Linked DNA regions of Saccharomyces cerevisiae S288C. Changing the gene in region 4 together with the main gene of any one other region gives a genetic interaction. Each region holds a gene or a part of one and is shown on either strand. Other genes may lie near its edges.

Region 1 (3,479 bases), on a different chromosome or scaffold from region 4:
TATAGTATCATCGTCAACCGTAATCTTTACATTTTCTTTATTTAAAAGGTTCTCTACCTGTCTGATATCTTCACGGATTTTCTCGATATACATTGGCTCCTTTACGCCCACATCAGCCTTCGTTCGTTTCCAAATTGTGGCTCCTTCCATTTGGTGGAATACCGGATAGTGAGTTTTGTCAATTTCATCTCTTCTGTACACATCTGCAGATATTAAAAATCCACTTTTAATATTATCTGAATCGTTTCTTATTTTTTGAAAGCACTCTAATTCGTGGGCTGAAGTATGTGTTCTCAGTAGGTGCGTCTCATTTATATAATATGTGTCAGATTTTGATCTTCCAGGATGATCCTTAGGAAACCCTAAAGAATCGAAGTTTTCCATTGTGGTTACCACGGGCTTGAAATTATTAAAGATCTTAAATGTGTTGTCGACTGAGTTTAATTTCTTTTCAATTAGATCGCGAAGAATGCCTACTGGATGTGATTCTTTCAAATGTAATGATCTGTCGGTAAGCTTTATTATTGAATCTGTAACATTGGTAGTCTGTGGGTCGGTCTTGTATTTTATGCCATTGATTTCTACATGTGGAACTTTAAGGGTTGAATATAAGCGATAAAGACCAGTCCTGGTCTTCATCATTCTATTGAGAAACATTGAAGTTACCTCCATTGGCAGATATTTTTTTATCCCTTCTCTCTCTCTGAATTTGTGAGTAGTTCCTTAATTTTCCTACCTTTTTTTTTTCTCGAAGATTCAAACCTTAATTAAGTAACTATTATTATTAGCGTTGTCAGTATTAAAATTATTTGAATATATAAATAGCATTAGAAGATAAAAATCAAATTGTGTAGGATATGTTTGTATATCCGGAGTGTATCTGTAAAGCAATCATCAATTCTTGTATCGTTTCATTTTCCTTTTCTACCTCAACCTGTTTTCCAGCAGTATCACTGTCGTCTGGCGGTATAGTTGGTTTGGGAAACTTCGACGATAACTCAATCAGTTTTGACATCAATTCGTCGCGTTCTGCTCTTGATTCAATCAACTGTTTGTGCAATGAAGATTGAGCACCTAACGATTGCAAGAGCTCATAGTCCAGAGAATTGCTTTCTTCTAAGAGGTTTTGTAGCTTGGTGAATAATACATTGGTATTGTCCGGTTTCTCCAACAGTCTAATAAGAAGAGCAGTCTTTTCAAGATTAATTTGAAGTTGGTGTCTAATTTCCAAGAGGCGCTGTTGAGTATGGCTTAATATTACCGCATGATTGTGTTTTCTAATCAAGTACAACCTGTCCAACGTGATCAACAACTCTCTATATACCTCCACGTGCTCCTTTTCTAATTGCTGGATTCTTTCCCATTGTTTTTCACTACTGTTTGTCATCTGTCAAAATGGTATGAACTCCCCACGACAGGAAGAAATGGTTAGAAGTATCTAGATATTGCACACTGTATGTGATGACGGCTATCATTTATTGTCAACATGCATCATCCTTCACGGTTTGGAATTTTTGAGTAAAAAAGGACTGAACATGACAAAAAATAGAGATTTGGCTGTCTCGTAAAGAAACCATAGAATACAAGGAGTAGGAACCGTTCGGCAGCGAGTAGTTGAGTTTCCAATAACATTATGCAGAATCCTTACGGTCACTTTACTAACAATACCACGGAGGACAGGGAAGCTTCATCTCAAGGAGGACCATTCGGCCAAAGCCTGAATAGGCCCCTAGATTACGCCGGATCTTTCCCTTCTCTGACATACAATAATAATAATTTCATTGCCAATCAACAACCTTCTCTGCCTTTGCCAGAACCACGTTTATCTTGGAACAACGTCAACCAGGTTTCTAACCCTTTGATGGTAACACCGCTTCCGGGATTACAAAAACGTATGAACAAAAACATTAAAAAGAAATTACCAAGAGTATCTAAGAAGGCATCAGCCCTTTCTAACGGGGTATCCGGCAATGTAATGAGCAACAGTAATATAGTAGGGCATGGTGCTGTAGGTTCGGCATCGGGATGGAAAGTTGAAATGGGTGGCAGTGATGAATTAGAGAGAAGAAAGAGAAGGGCAGAAAGATTCAGTCAGGGACCATCAGCGACGACGAATAGTAACGATAATTTGAATGAAGACTTTGCCAACCTAAATGCCATTAGTAGCAAATCTCATCAATATGACAAAAAGATTCATGTGGTAGGGCGTTGCCAAACTCTAGAGAAATCTTATCTGAGACTAACTTCAGAGCCTAATCCTGACTTGATCAGACCCCCAAATATTCTACAAAAAATGTATTGCTTGTTAATGGACAAATACCAATCTAAAACAGCCACTTATACTTACCTTTGCGACCAGTTTAAATCAATGAGACAAGACCTAAGAGTGCAAATGATCGAGAACTCTTTCACTATTAAAGTGTACCAAACGCATGCACGTATTGCCTTGGAGAACGGAGATCTTGGGGAATTTAATCAATGTCAAAATAGGATTATGGCGTTATTCGAAAACCCTACAATACCAAAAAAATCTTATTCCGAATTTATATGCTATTCTGTTTTGTATTCGATGTTAACCGAAGACTATCCGTCGATTTCTCATTTAAAACTTAAGTTAATAGACGATGGCTCTTCGGAAATCTTGGAGGACGAACATGTCAAAATGATATTTGAGTTGAGCGATATGAAACTAGTCGGCAATTATCACTACTTCATGAAAAACTACCTAAAACTGCACAAATTTGAAAAATGTCTAATTAATTCATTCTTAAATCTAGAAAAGTTGATATTTTTGACCATAATTTGTAAGAGTTATAACCAGGTCAATTTAGATTTTGTTAAAAGTGAGTTTAATTTCAACAGTATAGAAGAGACAACAAATTTCTTGAATGAGCAAAACTTGACGGAGTTCATATTAAACAAACAAATCACTGACAGTAATGGCAAAAGTAGTAATATCAAGATTTTGAATACCAAGGGATGTAGGGTACAGTTGATACAAAATTATATGAAGTCTAAAAAAATTGATATAAAGGGACAAAAATGATGAAGAGGGAAACGGGATGCCTAAGGTATATGATTTTGGTTTTTTTTTTTTTTTTTTTTTCTAAATAAATATATACATATTCACAACACATAAAATCTCTTGAGTGCATTCATCGATGTCACTTTCTTCTGGAAATCAGAGCCTAGATACCAGGCTTAAGGCCCCCACGAACAGTACGTGAGCTATTGGCCATTGTTCCTGCCCAAAAAACAGACATTTACTGGAAAAGTTTTTGAGTTATAATTAATTATATAGTTGTTTTATGATTTTTATACATATAATTAAAATAAAATCAAGCTTCAACCATTTCTCTCAATCTTCTGATGGTAGATCTAACGGTGGCGGCAGCAGCAGTGGAGACAGTGTAAGCACCACCAGCGACGGTCTTCTTACAACAGGAACAAGTCCAAATACCAGCAGCACCTCTCTTGAC
Region 2 (3,305 bases), on a different chromosome or scaffold from region 4:
CAAAAAGACTATTATTCTGTTGTGGTTGTTGTAACCCATTTTGGCCAAATGGCTGATTATTATTTTGATTGGTCTGGCCAAACAATCCACCAGGTTGGGACTGCGACTGGTTGTTTTGTTGTCCGAATAATCCCCCGGTTGATTGCTGTTGTTGGTTATTTTGCCCAAATATAGAATTATTTTGGGCATTACCAGACGCAAAAGTGGATGCTCCCTGCTGTTGTCCAAACAGTCCTCCTGCAGGTTTGCTTCCAAATAATCCGCCTTGTTGCTGTGGCTGGCCAAATGCGTTTGAGGAGTTTTGTTGTCCAAATAATCCGGATTGGTTCTGGCTTTGGTTATTCTGACCGAACAATCCTCCAGCGTTGGAATTTTGTTGCTGGCCAAATAACCCTCCTCCACTTTGCTGCTGATTGGTTTGCCCAAATAAGCCACCAGTGGTACCAGTGGGGTTGGTATTCATTCCGAATGCTTTTGAACCAGCAGATTGTCCAAATAGTCCACCAGAAGCAGGTTTAGCTCCAAAAAGAGCACCAGTGCCTTGCTGTTGGCCGAAAGCGCCACCATTTGCGTTAGCGTTTGATTGACCAAATATACCACCACTACCTTGTTGTGTTTGTTGTTGGGGAAAGGCACCACGATTCACCTGACCAAAGGCTCCCCCGTTACTGACATTATTCGCCCCAAATGAATTTTGCTGTTGACCAAATAATCCTCCGTTTGTATTTGAGTTCTGCTGGCCGAAAAGGCCTGTATTATTAGTGCCGTTTGTTGGGTTGTTAGTTGTATTACCAAACAATCCCCCGGAAGTGGCAGGTTTATTTGCTCCAAATGCAGAATTTCCTGAGAGGTTAGTAGAGCTTCCAAACAATCCTGTAGAGTTGGTCGCTCCAGAGCCAAAGCCACCACCACTTCCAGTTCCGGTTCCAAACATGCCTGTTGCTGGCTTTTGACCAAATAATCCTCCTGTTGTAGCAGAAGTAGTGGAGTTATTATTACCCATAATTCCAAATCCAGTATTGGTAGTTCCTTGAGGATTGTTAAAAGTAGTACCAGTGCCATTTTGACTGGTACCGAATTTTCTACCAGCTTGGTAATCTTGAAATCTCAATTCTTCAAAAGAAAAATTTCTGTATTCAGGCATACAGGTGATACTTTGGAAGACGTTGATGACACCTGTGGTTGGATCCTTCTCTTCGAATGTAGTAAAAGGTTTAATGCTTGTACCTGCAGTAGAATTGGGCACAACAGAAGCGGAACCAGCAGAAAGTGCTGTGTTATTACCCATTCCACCGAAGATCGAGCCAGAGGCATTGTTGTTCGTCAATTGACTTTGACCAAAAGGAGTACCATTTGCTGTAGTCGAGCCTGACATTCCGAAGGGAGAATTAGAAGTTTGGTTACCAAAGTTACCAAACGCAGGTGCTTGTGTTGTATTTGTTTGCTGACTGAGGCCGAAAGCAGAAGTGTTTGCTACTGGTTGTTGTTGTTGCTGTTGGCCACCAAAGGTTGATCCTGTTGAGCCAAATGGCTGTGTTGTTGCGCTGGGGAATGCGCCACGGCTAACTCCAAACATAATAATGTTTTAAAAAAGAAATCTTCGAAGCTGAATGGTGCCTCTCAGTTGCCGGGATCTCTATGCAATGCTGATAGTTTCCTTTGCGACCTTATGACACTTTATTAACTCTAAGTATAATTTAGTTTTGTTCTTTTTCTAATGAGCATGGTAAGGAAAAATGCCGGGTAATGATAATCTGCAAAAGTGACAATAATAAACTGACGCGTAACAAGATCAATGATATACTGGATTAAAATGCCATGAAAACGTGAACAGAAACTTTTATTGAGGTCATGGATCAAGATTTTGACAGTTTATTACTAGGTTTCAATGACTCCGATAGTGTCCAAAAAGACCCAACTGTACCAAATGGCTTGGATGGTTCAGTAGTTGATCCTACCATTGCGGATCCAACCGCAATTACAGCTAGAAAGAGAAGGCCTCAAGTAAAATTAACAGCCGAAAAACTACTCAGTGATAAAGGTTTACCATATGTTTTGAAAAATGCACATAAAAGGATACGAATTTCCTCAAAAAAAAACTCATATGACAACTTATCAAATATTATTCAGTTTTACCAGCTTTGGGCACATGAATTGTTTCCCAAGGCAAAATTTAAGGATTTTATGAAGATCTGTCAAACAGTAGGTAAAACAGATCCAGTTCTTAGAGAATATAGAGTCAGCCTTTTTAGGGACGAGATGGGCATGAGTTTCGATGTTGGCACACGGGAGACTGGGCAAGACCTGGAAAGACAATCACCTATGGTTGAAGAACATGTCACTTCCGCGGAAGAGAGGCCTATTGTCGCAGATAGTTTTGCGCAAGACAAAAGGAATGTAAACAATGTCGATTACGATAATGACGAAGATGACGATATCTATCACCTTTCTTATCGCAACAGAAGAGGACGAGTTTTGGACGAACGTGGGAATAATGAAACGGTACTTAACAACGTTGTGCCGCCTAAGGAAGATTTGGATGCATTATTGAAGACATTCAGGGTACAAGGGCCCGTTGGCCTTGAAGAAAATGAGAAGAAGCTCTTATTAGGATGGCTAGATGCGCATAGAAAAATGGAAAAAGGCTCTATGACTGAAGAAGACGTTCAACTGATTCAAAGTTTGGAAGAGTGGGAAATGAATGATATAGAGGGACAACATACTCATTATGATTTATTGCCAGGGGGAGATGAGTTTGGCGTAGATCAAGATGAGTTGGATGCTATGAAGGAAATGGGCTTTTAGCAATGTCATTGAAGGTAATAATCCAAACGTGCGTGTGGGCATCTATACATATAGGTTTATATATATTGTGTAAATAAAGCTTGTAGAAAGAGCCTGGTTCGAGTGTTTGATTTTTTCTTCTTGGGCGTTATTATACAATATCTACTTCAAATTATTTATCTAGGTGGTCCATAAGCGAGCCGTATTATCAGCACCGGCAGAAAACAGCCAAGCTTCCCTCGGATGCCAAATAGCATCAAGAACACCCAGACTATTGATTACTTTATGACCGGTTAGTTTCTTTAGTGGCACAATCATCGGATTTTTCATCATGTCATCATAAACAGTGGCATGGAAAACATGTATGGTACCGTCATCAGCGGCAGAGCTGAATAGAGGTAACTTTTTGTGGAAATTCACACTTCTGACGGCTTTTTCATGATATCTTAGTGTCTTGTAAGGTGTGCTAGCCAAATCCAGGTCGTGCCATAAAACTCTCTTGTCAAACGATGACGCAATTA
Region 3 (5,178 bases), on a different chromosome or scaffold from region 4:
ACCGTATGCCATCGGAATCCAGATGCATTTCTGAACCTTTCCACTCGGGAAAACCACTCGTCATGTCACACGGAGAGTTGGCCATGAACTGGCTAATGGGATGGTCTAAGGCGACCACTGTAAGAAGAACAAGAGATGATGCAAGCTAAAGCAAGCAGGTCTCAAATAAACGCTACTTGTGCCGTTGACAGCTTGTTTATCTTGCACATGGCAAGGCCATCGCGTCCCTGCGTCCCAAGAGTGCGCGGTATACGTGCGGCCCTAAACGAGGCGGTCTCTGTTCTCTGATATATTTCTTTTCTTTCTTCGTTGTTTTGTTTCGTGTTTGTTGAGCTCCTGCCTTCAATCGGCATCGTCCTCTTGCGTACGTACATAAAATCGTTACAGCTTTGTTCACATGGTGAAAACAATAGCGTTTGGTACGCTCTTTAAATCTTGGCACTTGTCACTTACGCTCCTTTAAACAAAATCAAACATACAAATATACGGATACGTACGCACACAGAAGCATAAAAGCACAAAAGCACATAAGAAGACCACATATAAACTAGATTATGTCCTTTGATAGACAGTTGACCGAAGACCAGGAGGTCGTCCTTAAGCAAATTTGGACACACCTTTTCCATCTGTGGCAAGTTCCCGTGGATGGAACTCATATTTTCCCTAATAACTCCCTCCACTCCTCGTCCACCCCTGCTAAGAAGAAGAAATCATCCTGGTTTAGCAAGCTTCAGTCCTCAGACCATACACAGGACTCCAGCGAAGCCGCTGAAGCGGCACACCTCTATGAAAAGGGCAAGATACACAAGGCACTAGCCAATCTAGACCCGCAAACGACCAAGAAGCAGTTCTGGCACGATATCAAGAATGAAACTCCAGACGCCACCATTTTGAAGTTTATCAGAGCCAGAAAGTGGAACGCAGACAAGACCATCGCCATGTTGGGTCACGATTTGTACTGGCGCAAGGACACTATTAACAAGATCATAAACGGTGGCGAAAGAGCTGTGTATGAGAATAACGAGACCGGTGTCATTAAGAACCTGGAATTGCAAAAGGCCACCATCCAGGGTTACGACAATGACATGAGGCCAGTCATCCTTGTGAGACCTAGATTACATCATTCTTCCGACCAAACTGAACAGGAGCTGGAAAAATTCTCCCTGTTGGTCATCGAGCAATCAAAGCTTTTCTTCAAAGAAAACTACCCCGCATCCACCACCATCTTGTTCGATCTGAACGGGTTCTCCATGTCCAATATGGACTATGCCCCCGTCAAGTTTCTAATCACTTGTTTTGAGGCTCACTACCCGGAATCTTTGGGCCATCTACTTATCCATAAGGCCCCTTGGATCTTTAACCCGATTTGGAACATCATCAAGAATTGGCTGGATCCGGTCGTCGCGTCCAAGATTGTTTTCACTAAGAATATCGACGAATTGCACAAGTTTATCCAACCCCAATACATCCCTAGGTATCTGGGCGGAGAAAATGACAATGATTTGGATCATTACACTCCACCAGATGGCTCTTTGGACGTCCATCTGAAAGACACCGAGACTCGCGCTATGATCGAAAAGGAGAGAGAAGAATTGGTCGAACAATTCTTGACTGTCACTGCCCAATGGATTGAACACCAGCCATTGAACGATCCAGCATACATTCAACTGCAGGAGAAAAGAGTACAACTTTCCACCGCTCTTTGTGAAAACTACTCCAAGTTAGATCCGTACATCAGATCAAGATCCGTTTATGACTACAATGGTTCTCTAAAAGTTTGAGCCAAGCCACGCGACGCTCCATACTGTATAGACCTTTATTATAAAAACATCTATTTCTTTATATGTCCCTCTATCTTATTTTTCTTTTACTTTTATTTGTATAATACGCGAAAAATTATAGAATCATTTATTATCAAAAACAATCAACTATGAAATGAAAAACAATACGCCTGCTAATACGGTTCGCCCTTCAATTTTTGTTTTTTTTACATGAATGAGTCTTATACTAGATGATATCATCCTCTCACTAACGAATGCTAACGAACGAACGCCACCACAGGCCCTTAAAACCACTTTAAGCCTGCTATACGAAAAATCAAAACAATATGGTCTTTCTTCGCCGCAACTACAAGCACTTGTAAGGTTACTCTGTGAAACTTCCATAATAGACACAGTTACAAAAGTGTACATCGTCGAAAATTGCTTTTTACCTGATGGCTACTTGACGAAGGAACTTCTTTTGGAGATTATTAACCATCTCGGTACGCCAACGGTATTCTCTAGATATCGCATACAAACGCCTCCGGTCCTACAATCTGCGTTGTGCAAATGGTTAGTGCATGTTTATTTCCTATTTCCTGTACATTCAGAACGAGAACACAATATATCCAGTTCTATCTGGTTACATTTATGGCAATTCTCGTTCTTACAGAAGTGGATAACTCCCCTGGTTATTTGGCAAGCCACGACGCCCGTTGATGTCAAACCTTGGAAGTTGTCTATTATCAAGAGATGCGCTATGCATCCAGGTTACCGGGACGCTCCCGGTAGTGCGACGCTTATTTTGCAACGATTTCAATGTCTCGTGGGCGCATCCAGTCAGATTACTGAATCAATAATTACCATCAATTGCAATAGAAAGACTTTGAAAAGTCATCGAAACTTAAAATTGGATGCGCATTTCCTATCCATTTTGAAAAGAATATTATCCAGAGCACATCCCGCTAATTTTCCCGCTGACACTGTCCAAAACACAATTGACATGTACTTGAGTGAAATTCATCAATTAGGTGCTGATTCTATATACCCACTTCGACTTCAATCACTTCCAGAATATGTTCCCTCTGACAGTACGGTCTCTCTTTGGGATGTCACTTCATTGGAACAATTAGCTCAAAACTGGCCACAATTGCATATTCCCAATGATGTAGATTACATGATGAAGCCATCTTTAAACAGCAATGTTTTACTGCCGCGAAAAGTCATGTCTAGGGATTCTCTCAAACACTTGTACTCTAGTATCATTCTCATTAAAAATAGCCGCGATGAGTCGTCATCACCATACGAATGGTGCATTTGGCAATTGAAGCGATGCTTTGCACATCAGATAGAGACTCCGCAAGAAGTTATTCCCATTATTATTTCGGTGTCCTCAATGGATAATAAACTGTCTTCTCGCATTATTCAAACGTTTTGTAATTTGAAATACTTAAAACTCGATGAGCTTACGTTGAAAAAGGTTTGTGGCGGAATCTTGCCATTATGGAAGCCTGAACTAATCAGTGGTACAAGGGAATTTTTCGTTAAGTTTATGGCCAGTATTTTTATGTGGAGTACACGAGATGGTCACGACAATAATTGCACATTTTCTGAAACTTGTTTTTACGTTTTACAAATGATTACAAACTGGGTTTTAGATGATAAATTGATAGCACTCGGGTTGACACTACTGCATGACATGCAAAGCCTGCTAACTTTGGACAAAATCTTTAACAATGCTACTTCAAACAGATTTTCTACGATGGCTTTCATCAGCTCGTTAGATATTTTAACTCAACTGTCGAAACAAACGAAGTCGGATTATGCGATCCAATATTTGATTGTGGGCCCTGACATCATGAATAAAGTGTTCAGTTCGGACGATCCTTTGCTATTATCAGCTGCGTGCAGGTACTTGGTTGCTACGAAAAATAAATTGATGCAATACCCGTCAACAAACAAATTCGTTCGGATGCAGAACCAATATATCATGGATTTGACAAATTATCTTTACAGGAATAAAGTTCTGTCATCCAAAAGTTTGTTTGGAGTCTCACCAGATTTCTTTAAGCAGATTTTGGAGAATCTTTATATCCCAACTGCAGACTTCAAGAACGCTAAATTTTTCACGATAACTGGTATACCAGCGCTATCCTACATATGTATTATTATTCTAAGACGACTGGAAACGGCCGAAAATACCAAAATAAAATTCACCAGTGGGATCATAAATGAAGAGACGTTTAACAATTTCTTTCGAGTTCATCATGATGAGATTGGCCAGCATGGTTGGATAAAGGGCGTTAATAACATTCACGACTTGAGAGTAAAGATTTTAATGCATTTGAGTAACACTGCTAATCCATATAGAGACATTGCAGCATTCTTGTTTACATATTTGAAGAGTCTCTCAAAGTATAGCGTTCAAAATTCTTAGAATATGCATCCACATTTATATACATATATATATATATATATATATTATAACTTCCAAAAAGGAGATTGGACAATTTATATCTATAAGGCATTAATATTTAACTATTTACAAGCACTAGTGGTAAATTCATGGCGTCATATGATTACTTGTGGAATAAGAAACTAATCACATTGAATTTCATGACAAATTTTTTGATTTTTTTATTCATCAAATACATTCTCCCTTCCGGTAAGTTCATCAAAGTTTCAATAACAGCATCCCTACCTAATTTCAAAAAGTTTTTGTCAGCCGTGTACATGAATTTGACTCTGCCATTTACCACAATTTGAAACTTTTTGAATTTGGACTCAGTAGTGCGCTCAACTTCTGGCCAGCGGTATTGGTTCCATTCCATTTGGGAGTTGATCATCTCTGCAGCTTCTTCTGAAATTGACGGGACAGCAGGATATATAACGGTTACCAACTTTTGTAAATTCTGTACTATCATTTCATTCCTTACTTCACCTTTTTTCAATGCACTTTCTAAAATATTGGTTAGCTTCATATAATCAGATATTACAGTGTTTAACGATAGATTAACTTCAAATGATTCCGTAATTGATTTCAAGAAGCGTTGGAAATCGTTGTGAAATTTCACTTCTGCATCATTTAAGTCGGTCGGGGTCTTGTAGTCTTTACTTATTGCCAAATCCTTCTCGAGACTGAGAATATTTTTGGTCAAATGAAGAACCTTCTGCAACCAACGTTCTATACCAACAATCTTGGATTCATCCCAATTCAGGGCATCTGCAATTGGACTTTGGAAGAGGATATGTGCTCTCGTAGCATCAGGTCCATGTCTTAAAATACATTCATTTGGATCTGCACCATTGTATTTAGATTTCGACATTTTTTCATAAGAGACTACCGGAACCTTGCCATTTGATTTAATAATCACTGTGTTGCCATCTGGAGAGTCATTTACAAAGGTTAACTCGTCAG
Region 4 (6,730 bases):
CTTCTTTCTTTAAATCAGCCAGATCTTTACTGGAAATAGAAATCAAACCTTGTATATCTAATGAGCTGATCGCAATATAAAGATTAACTAAGACATGGCACAAGTATTTCGCTTGATCTTCATGACTTTCAGTCTTATATGGTAAGAACTCTTCAATAGGAAATTCAGGCCTCACGGATCTGCTGAACCAGCGAGATGATGGGTCATATATATTCTTCATATGCTGGGCCCTGTCACTAACATAATCCAGCGTATAATGCTGTAGCCTTTCATTCAAAAGGGAAGTGGAATCCATGCCATTGAACAGTTTTTGGTCCTGTAGCGTTGGGGTAGCAGACCTTGCTCTTAGCGGAGAATGTGGTCTTCCGTCTGCGGCATATAGCCTAGACTTTTTACGTTTTATCTCGCCCTGAGAAGAACTGGGCCTTCCTGGACTTCTCTCAAAGCGCTTCAATTGGGATAAGGTCTTGTTAGTAATGGGAATGGGTGATTTGATATCATCGTCATTGTTAGCGGTCATTGGCGGTAACAAATCGAAAAATTAATGTGCAAAGCTAGCTAACGAACAATGATAAAGTTTATGTATGCAAATACAGCTACAATATTCAATGTTCTTCTCGTAGTTTTTGCTAAGATCTAATGCAGCTTTATTATCAAGCCCTGATGACAGACTTTGCAAATATCGTGTACTTCTCCACTGGTAAGAGATGAGAAAGAACTTAAAAAATTCTTTTCTAAGGGATACCTCGGCCGCCACCCACCACAATTGGGTTACCCTGGAAAAAAAGTGACGTTATTAATATTATTGTTACTATGATATTGCACTAGCTAGTTGACCTATATAGATATTATTAGTTATTTGACGGGTTATAGCAGAGGTTGGTTTCATAGATTATTCTGCGTAATTGCTCAAGTCCAAAGTTATGATCTTCGACGAGTTTTCTTGTTGCTGTCTGTAAACCCCAACGAGAGCGTCAGATTTTTCAAACATGGTGTTCTTCAATGAAATGACAATGAATTGGAGATCTGGATTACGGTGCCTTCTTATATAGGCAGCAATTCTCTGGACGTTAGTAATGTCTAGGGCTGCGTCCACTTCGTCCAGCACGAAGAAGGGACTAGGCTGGTAGGAATTAATAGCAAATAATAGAGCTAATGCAGCTACGGTTTTTTCACCACCAGAAAGATATTCCATGTCTTTGAATCTTTTAAGAGGCGGAGTGGCATGATATTTGATTCCCGCATTGAACGGTTCATCTTCGTCTTCTATGGTTAAAGAAGCGTTACCACCGGCCAATTCCACATTGGAGTTGGGATTTTTAGTAAGTTCCCTGTAGATTGCGTCTAAATGGTCGCTCACATAATCAAATGTCTTTTCGAACAGTTCCTTTCTTTTTTTCTTAATTTTTAGGAACTGGTTTAATATTTTCTTTTCTTCGGCCTTTAGTTGTTCTGTTTCGTTATTAATCACTTCAAACCTTCCTTCCGCCTCGTCGTATCTCTCCAAAGCTCTTGCATTGGGCTGCAACTCGTTCAATATTTCCTCCACTTCATGAATCTTCTGCTCCAGCTCCTTCCTTGCCGAATCGGTATTGTTTTCTTTGTATTTTTTAGGTAGTCCTTTATAGTTTATATCGATACTGTTGGAAATTGTAATTGCTTCATTATCAGTGGAAGATATTGGTAAATCATCTATCGTTGTTTCAGATGATATAGGTATATTTATATTAGAAATTTTACAATTCTTTAACGCTGTTACTCTCTCTAAATCAAACTTTTCAATATCTTCCTTTATACCGTCTCTTTCCCTTTTTAAGACTTGTAAGTTGCTGTTCATGTCCTCTAGAATATCTTCGCTGGAATTTAATTCACTTTGCTTCGTTACAAATTTCTTCTGTAACTCATCTAAGTGATTTTTGTGTTCTTCCAATTTAGACTCTATTGATCCGATTTTCATTTCTATTGCATATTCCTGTTCTTCCAAAGACTTCATTTCAACTTGAGCATTCTCTAAATCCTTTTGCGCCTTTTCATATCTTCTTTGAGTAGTACTTAGTCTGTCTGTCTCAAACTGCAACTTATTTTCAACGGTCAAAATTTGTTTTTGTAACTGCTGTAATTCTTTAGATTGTTGTCTCATCAATTCACCGGAATGATTTTCATATTCTTTGATTGTAAAGCCAATTTTACTAGTGAATTCTTTGAAAATATTATTTTGTAAAGCCTCCTTCTCTTTCACTAAATTATCTTTAGTATTTTCTAAATCATCTAGCTTCTTCTTTAGTTCAGTTATCTTCGGTTGAATTTCTTTCTCTATCAAGTCATTATGGTACTTAATCTCTAAACGATTTTCATCCAAGGAGCGTTTTTGTTGTGTTACTTGAGTTCTCAAATTTGCTATGTCCGAGTTCAATAGTGAAACACTATTTTCAACTTCTCTTGCTCTGATTGAATTAGAGCGTTGACCGTTGGAAAGTTCATCGATTTGGATTAGTAATTTGTCTTTTAAAGACATTAAGCTTTGATATTCTTCTTTATCCCACCTATTATTGGCATCTCCTGATATACCACCTGTCATCAAACCGGCCTTGTGGATCAAAGCACCTTCAATTGTAACCAATTTGCCTCTTATGCCCTTTTTCCATTTCAGATCTTTAGCAATATTCAACGTATTACATATGATGGAATCGCCACACACATATTGCATCGCTTTTTCATATTCCGGCTCGTAGTCAATAGCATTAATTGATAAAATATAGTCTTGTGAGTCAGGCAATGATAATGTAGGTAACTCTGTCTCAATTGTGTCTAGTGGTATGAAAGATGCAGTGCCCGCACGTTGCTTCTTCAAAAATGCAATGCATTCTTGAGCTACGGTTAAATTTTCTACAATGACGGAATCAAAGTTCTTACCTAAGATGGTAGACACTGCCAAGCCATATTTCTCCTTTTTTGGGTGACAAAGATCATGAACAAGACCTTTTACTCCGGGGAAGAATCTTTTCAACATTGCTATATTTTCTCTTAGTTTTCTTTCTTTCATTGTTTCTCTTTGATTAGCACTCAAGTCATCGATCTTAACCAACGTTTCCCTCAACTTGAAATTTAAGTCGTATTCTTGATTATTAGCAGATTCAATATCAGATTGTAATTTTTTCAGCTCGTGCAAACGTTCAGTATGAAGGGCGTTTTTCTCATTCAAAGAAACTCTTAAATCGTTTAATTGCGTGTCCAATTTTTCTCCTGTTATAGAAAGCTCCTCCGTTATCCTTCTTTTAGAAATATCTGCCCTTTTGTTGAATCTCTCCAATTCCTCTTGGATTTCTCGCTTATCGTTGTTCAAAACGGCAATTTTTTCTTCTAGGATTGACCCACCTTCAGTCAGATATTTTTCATGTAAGCAATTATATGTCTTTAAATCATTTTCATTTAGCTTGAATTTGTCATAGTTTCTAGCAGATTGTTTGATTTCCTCTTCAAAAGCTTCCTTTGATCTGGTCACCACTTTTAGTTGTGTTTCAAATCTCTCCACATAAGTCTTCTGTCTTTGAAGATCTTTCTGTAAACTTTCGATTCTTTTTTCTATATGGGAAATTCGCTTCCCTGCTGCCTGTTGAGGAACCTTTATGAGCCGTAAATCCGAGACTAATTTTTCCTTATCCTTGAAGATATAATCTAATTTACTTTTTTGCTTAGAAATTACTGCGCTTTCTTTAACAAAGGAAGATTTTGAGCGTTGTAATGATTTCATCTCGTTATTTATTTTTCCCTTTAAAGACGATATTTCAGAGTTTAATGCGGACAGCTTGTCCGTTAGCTCCTCTTTTTGTTGCTCTAAATGATATAACTGCCATAGAGCCTGGAACTTCTGTAATTCATTTTTTTTGTCCAATTGTTTCCTATACTCCTCGTTCTTATTGATACCTTCTTTATATGTCTTCAATTCTCCATGGATCCTTCTCCTATTTTTTATAGATTCGGTTGCAGATTTGCTTAATTTCTCAATCTTTTCCTTCAACTCTTCATACTCCTTTTTGTATTGGATAGAACCTGATACTTCTTCAAACATTCTTGATAATTCTACGGGAGATTGTGCTGCAATTTGCTCAACATCACCCTGGAACACTAGAAAATTTTTGGCTTTGATAAGAATATTTTCGTTCTCAAGAAATATAGAATAGTCCTTATAGGAGACAGTTTTTCCATCAATTTTATAACTAGTGTCACCGTTTCTGGAAATTATCCTCATCAGCTCCACCAGTTTGTTACCTTTTTGATAAAATGCCTTCACGTATGCGGATTGTGGGTTCGAAGAGGCAGCGCCCTCGTTATCATAATCGTCACTATTCTCATCGTTTAGAACACCTCTATAGATTAAATCTTTCAAGATGTTTGACCTCAAATGATTACTCCGCACACCGAGTACGAATGAGATAGCATCCATCATATTCGATTTACCAGATCCGTTAGGACCGATAATACTTGTGAAATTCGACTCGCCGAATCCTACCTTGGTAACGCCTCTATAGGACTTGAAATTACTTAGTTCTAAGCCAACTAAACGTCCCATTGCGTCTCCTTGTGCCTGCTTTTTATCAATAGCCTCTGGATGCTTGCTTTAAGTGATTTTATGAGATGTGATATGAGCGTCTTCGGTCTTATAGAATCCAATACTCTATTCACTTTACGCGTTATTGATACTTTTTTTTTTTTTCCCGTACGTGTTTATCATGACAAACGATTACAATTTGAAGAGAAGAGCGATAGAACCAAGCCTTGGAACGTTGAAACATCTAACGATAAAGATTGTGTCATAAAAACACTCATTATTTACATTGTCCAATTTGAGAAATATCATGTGATAATATACTAGTAACATGAATACTACTAATTAGATAATATTAGAACTTTATTCTAACACAATTGTATTAGCTTTTGTATTTCTTCTGCCCACGGGAGGTTGAGCGTAGAACTTCCTAATTCTCAAGAGAATATCGATCTTTTTGAAAAACTGAAAACGGAACAGATGTTTCAAAACATAACGCTTGATAACTTGAAAAAAATCAGCAGAATCAACTTCTTAACGTTAAAAGTTCAAGAAAACTCTTGGGCCAAGAACCATCAGGAATATATTATTTAAAAAATGGTTGCTACTTTCAAGAGCATCGATTTCTTATTTGGCGCGTAAAGAAATTTTAGTCACTTCGGTTATTACGCATTTTTCCAGCTTTTATTTCTTTGATTGCTTTTATATTTTTTTAGATCATTTTCAAAACTTTCTTAAACCCTTCTCAACTAAAAACTTGTACTTTCCATATTTTCAGGGAAGAAACATTAATTAATAAACGGCACCCTTTTTGTAAACACAATTAAAATTGAACATACAAGCAGTTTAGCTGCAGTTTATATTCAATAAAATGTACGAAGTTGTTATTGTACTTTTTTACTGATTATATAACTACTTATTAAGCTATATTATCTAAGTATGAGTCAATGCTTATTCTCTGGGAAAGGTCATGGTATTATAGTTGTCCTCGTTAGACCCAAAGAAGTAGAAATGGATTCCAAAGACGACGACGAGGAGTTTACGGGATTGCTAACGTAGTTAATTTTTGAAGCTTTGCTGAAATCCAGAATTTCTAAAAAGCTCTGTCCATCTTTTTCAACTGCTGCAACAAGTGTTTTGCCCTTAAAATTAACCGACCAAATCTGATCAGCATCTTTTAGAATATTTGCGTGGACCAATTTCCCACTCCGTAGATTATAGATGTTGAACTGATTTTCCGATCCACTCACCAAAATATTATCCGATACATAAAATGTGGTAATTGCACTCAAATTGGTATGATGGTAGGAAAATTTTCTAGAGTAGTCGTTTGCGTCCCAACCCCTTATTGAACCGTCTGCAGCGGCACTGACCAAAAATTTGTCGGATAATCTTAATAAACCGACCAAAGCTGTATGACCCTGCAAAGTGTACATAGCACCAAGTATTTTGGCGCATGGCGATGCTGAATTTGTTGCGTAGGAACATTCTCCATTATTCCATATATTTTCCAAATCCCAAATTCTAATAGTGGTATCCATACTGGCAGAGATGCACCTTTTTCTTTCATGATCGTAGATTGTCGAATAAATACGATCCGTATGTCCACTTAAAATATACAAACATTTCATTTGCGCAACATCCCACACAATCAGTGTATTATCATAGGAGCCACTAACGACAATATTACCGTGGCCTGAGACAGTTCTTACAGATGCCATATGTCCTCTTAAAACACCAACAAAATATGGGTTCTCCTCAGGGGTATGAAAGACTAATGGATAATCATGTTCTTCCCCATGATCAGGAACGGAGGACTCCTTGGGCAATTTCCAAACGTGCAAAGTGTTATCTCTCGAACCAGTAACAATGTACTTGATATTTTTATATTCTACTATATCTAGGCACCTCACCGTAGAGTTATGACCTTTAAACACATGGGTACAACAACCTTTCTTAATATCCCAAACTCGCACCGTTCTGTCTGTAGAACCGCTGACTAAAATACCGCCATGGGCATACTTCAATGCCCAAACCCCACCATCATGACCTGATAGTTGTAGAAGAAATTTCTTGTTTATCGAATCATAAACTCTGATCATTTTGTCATCAGCCCCCGTAATGACATAATTATCTTCAAATTGCAAGCACGTAATAACACTCGTCATATGGCCTCTTAACGTG

The links.
Region 1: mutations in SMC1 (region 4) and MCM16 together harm fitness more than expected from each alone (negative genetic interaction), as found in Saccharomyces cerevisiae (5 studies listed by BioGRID).
Region 2: mutations in SMC1 (region 4) and CSM3 together harm fitness more than expected from each alone (negative genetic interaction), as found in Saccharomyces cerevisiae (5 studies listed by BioGRID).
Region 3: mutations in SMC1 (region 4) and CTF3 together harm fitness more than expected from each alone (negative genetic interaction), as found in Saccharomyces cerevisiae (5 studies listed by BioGRID).

The regions. Positions count from the first base shown.
Region 1 is NC_001148.4:654,707-658,185, reverse strand, and holds MCM16 (Mcm16p), read right to left. Parts: upstream 1,388-3,479; coding exon 842-1,387; downstream 1-841. Other genes in the region: MSF1 (phenylalanine--tRNA ligase), read right to left, coding at 1-657; THP3 (Thp3p), read left to right, coding at 1,634-3,046; 60S ribosomal protein eL43 RPL43A, read right to left, coding at 3,339-3,479. UniProt on the Saccharomyces cerevisiae protein: Component of the kinetochore, a multiprotein complex that assembles on centromeric DNA and attaches chromosomes to spindle microtubules, mediating chromosome segregation and sister chromatid segregation during meiosis and mitosis.
Region 2 is NC_001145.3:365,130-368,434, forward strand, and holds CSM3 (Csm3p), read left to right. Parts: upstream 1-1,851; coding exon 1,852-2,805; downstream 2,806-3,305. Other genes in the region: FG-nucleoporin NUP116, read right to left, coding at 1-1,576; ribosome biogenesis protein ERB1, read right to left, coding at 2,965-3,305. UniProt on the Saccharomyces cerevisiae protein: Forms a fork protection complex (FPC) with TOF1 which is required for chromosome segregation during meiosis and DNA damage repair. FPC coordinates leading and lagging strand synthesis and moves with the replication fork.
Region 3 is NC_001144.5:877,728-882,905, forward strand, and holds CTF3 (Ctf3p), read left to right. Parts: upstream 1-1,995; coding exon 1,996-4,197; downstream 4,198-5,178. Other genes in the region: CSR1 (Csr1p), read left to right, coding at 555-1,781; leucine--tRNA ligase NAM2, read right to left, coding at 4,340-5,178. UniProt on the Saccharomyces cerevisiae protein: Component of the central kinetochore, which mediates the attachment of the centromere to the mitotic spindle by forming essential interactions between the microtubule-associated outer kinetochore proteins and the centromere-associated inner kinetochore proteins.
Region 4 is NC_001138.5:117,269-123,998, reverse strand, and holds SMC1 (cohesin subunit SMC1), read right to left. Parts: upstream 4,571-6,730; coding exon 893-4,570; downstream 1-892. Other genes in the region: proteasome activator BLM10, read right to left, coding at 1-520; SCF ubiquitin ligase complex subunit CDC4, read right to left, coding at 5,515-6,730. UniProt on the Saccharomyces cerevisiae protein: Involved in chromosome cohesion during cell cycle and in DNA repair. Central component of cohesin complex. The cohesin complex is required for the cohesion of sister chromatids after DNA replication.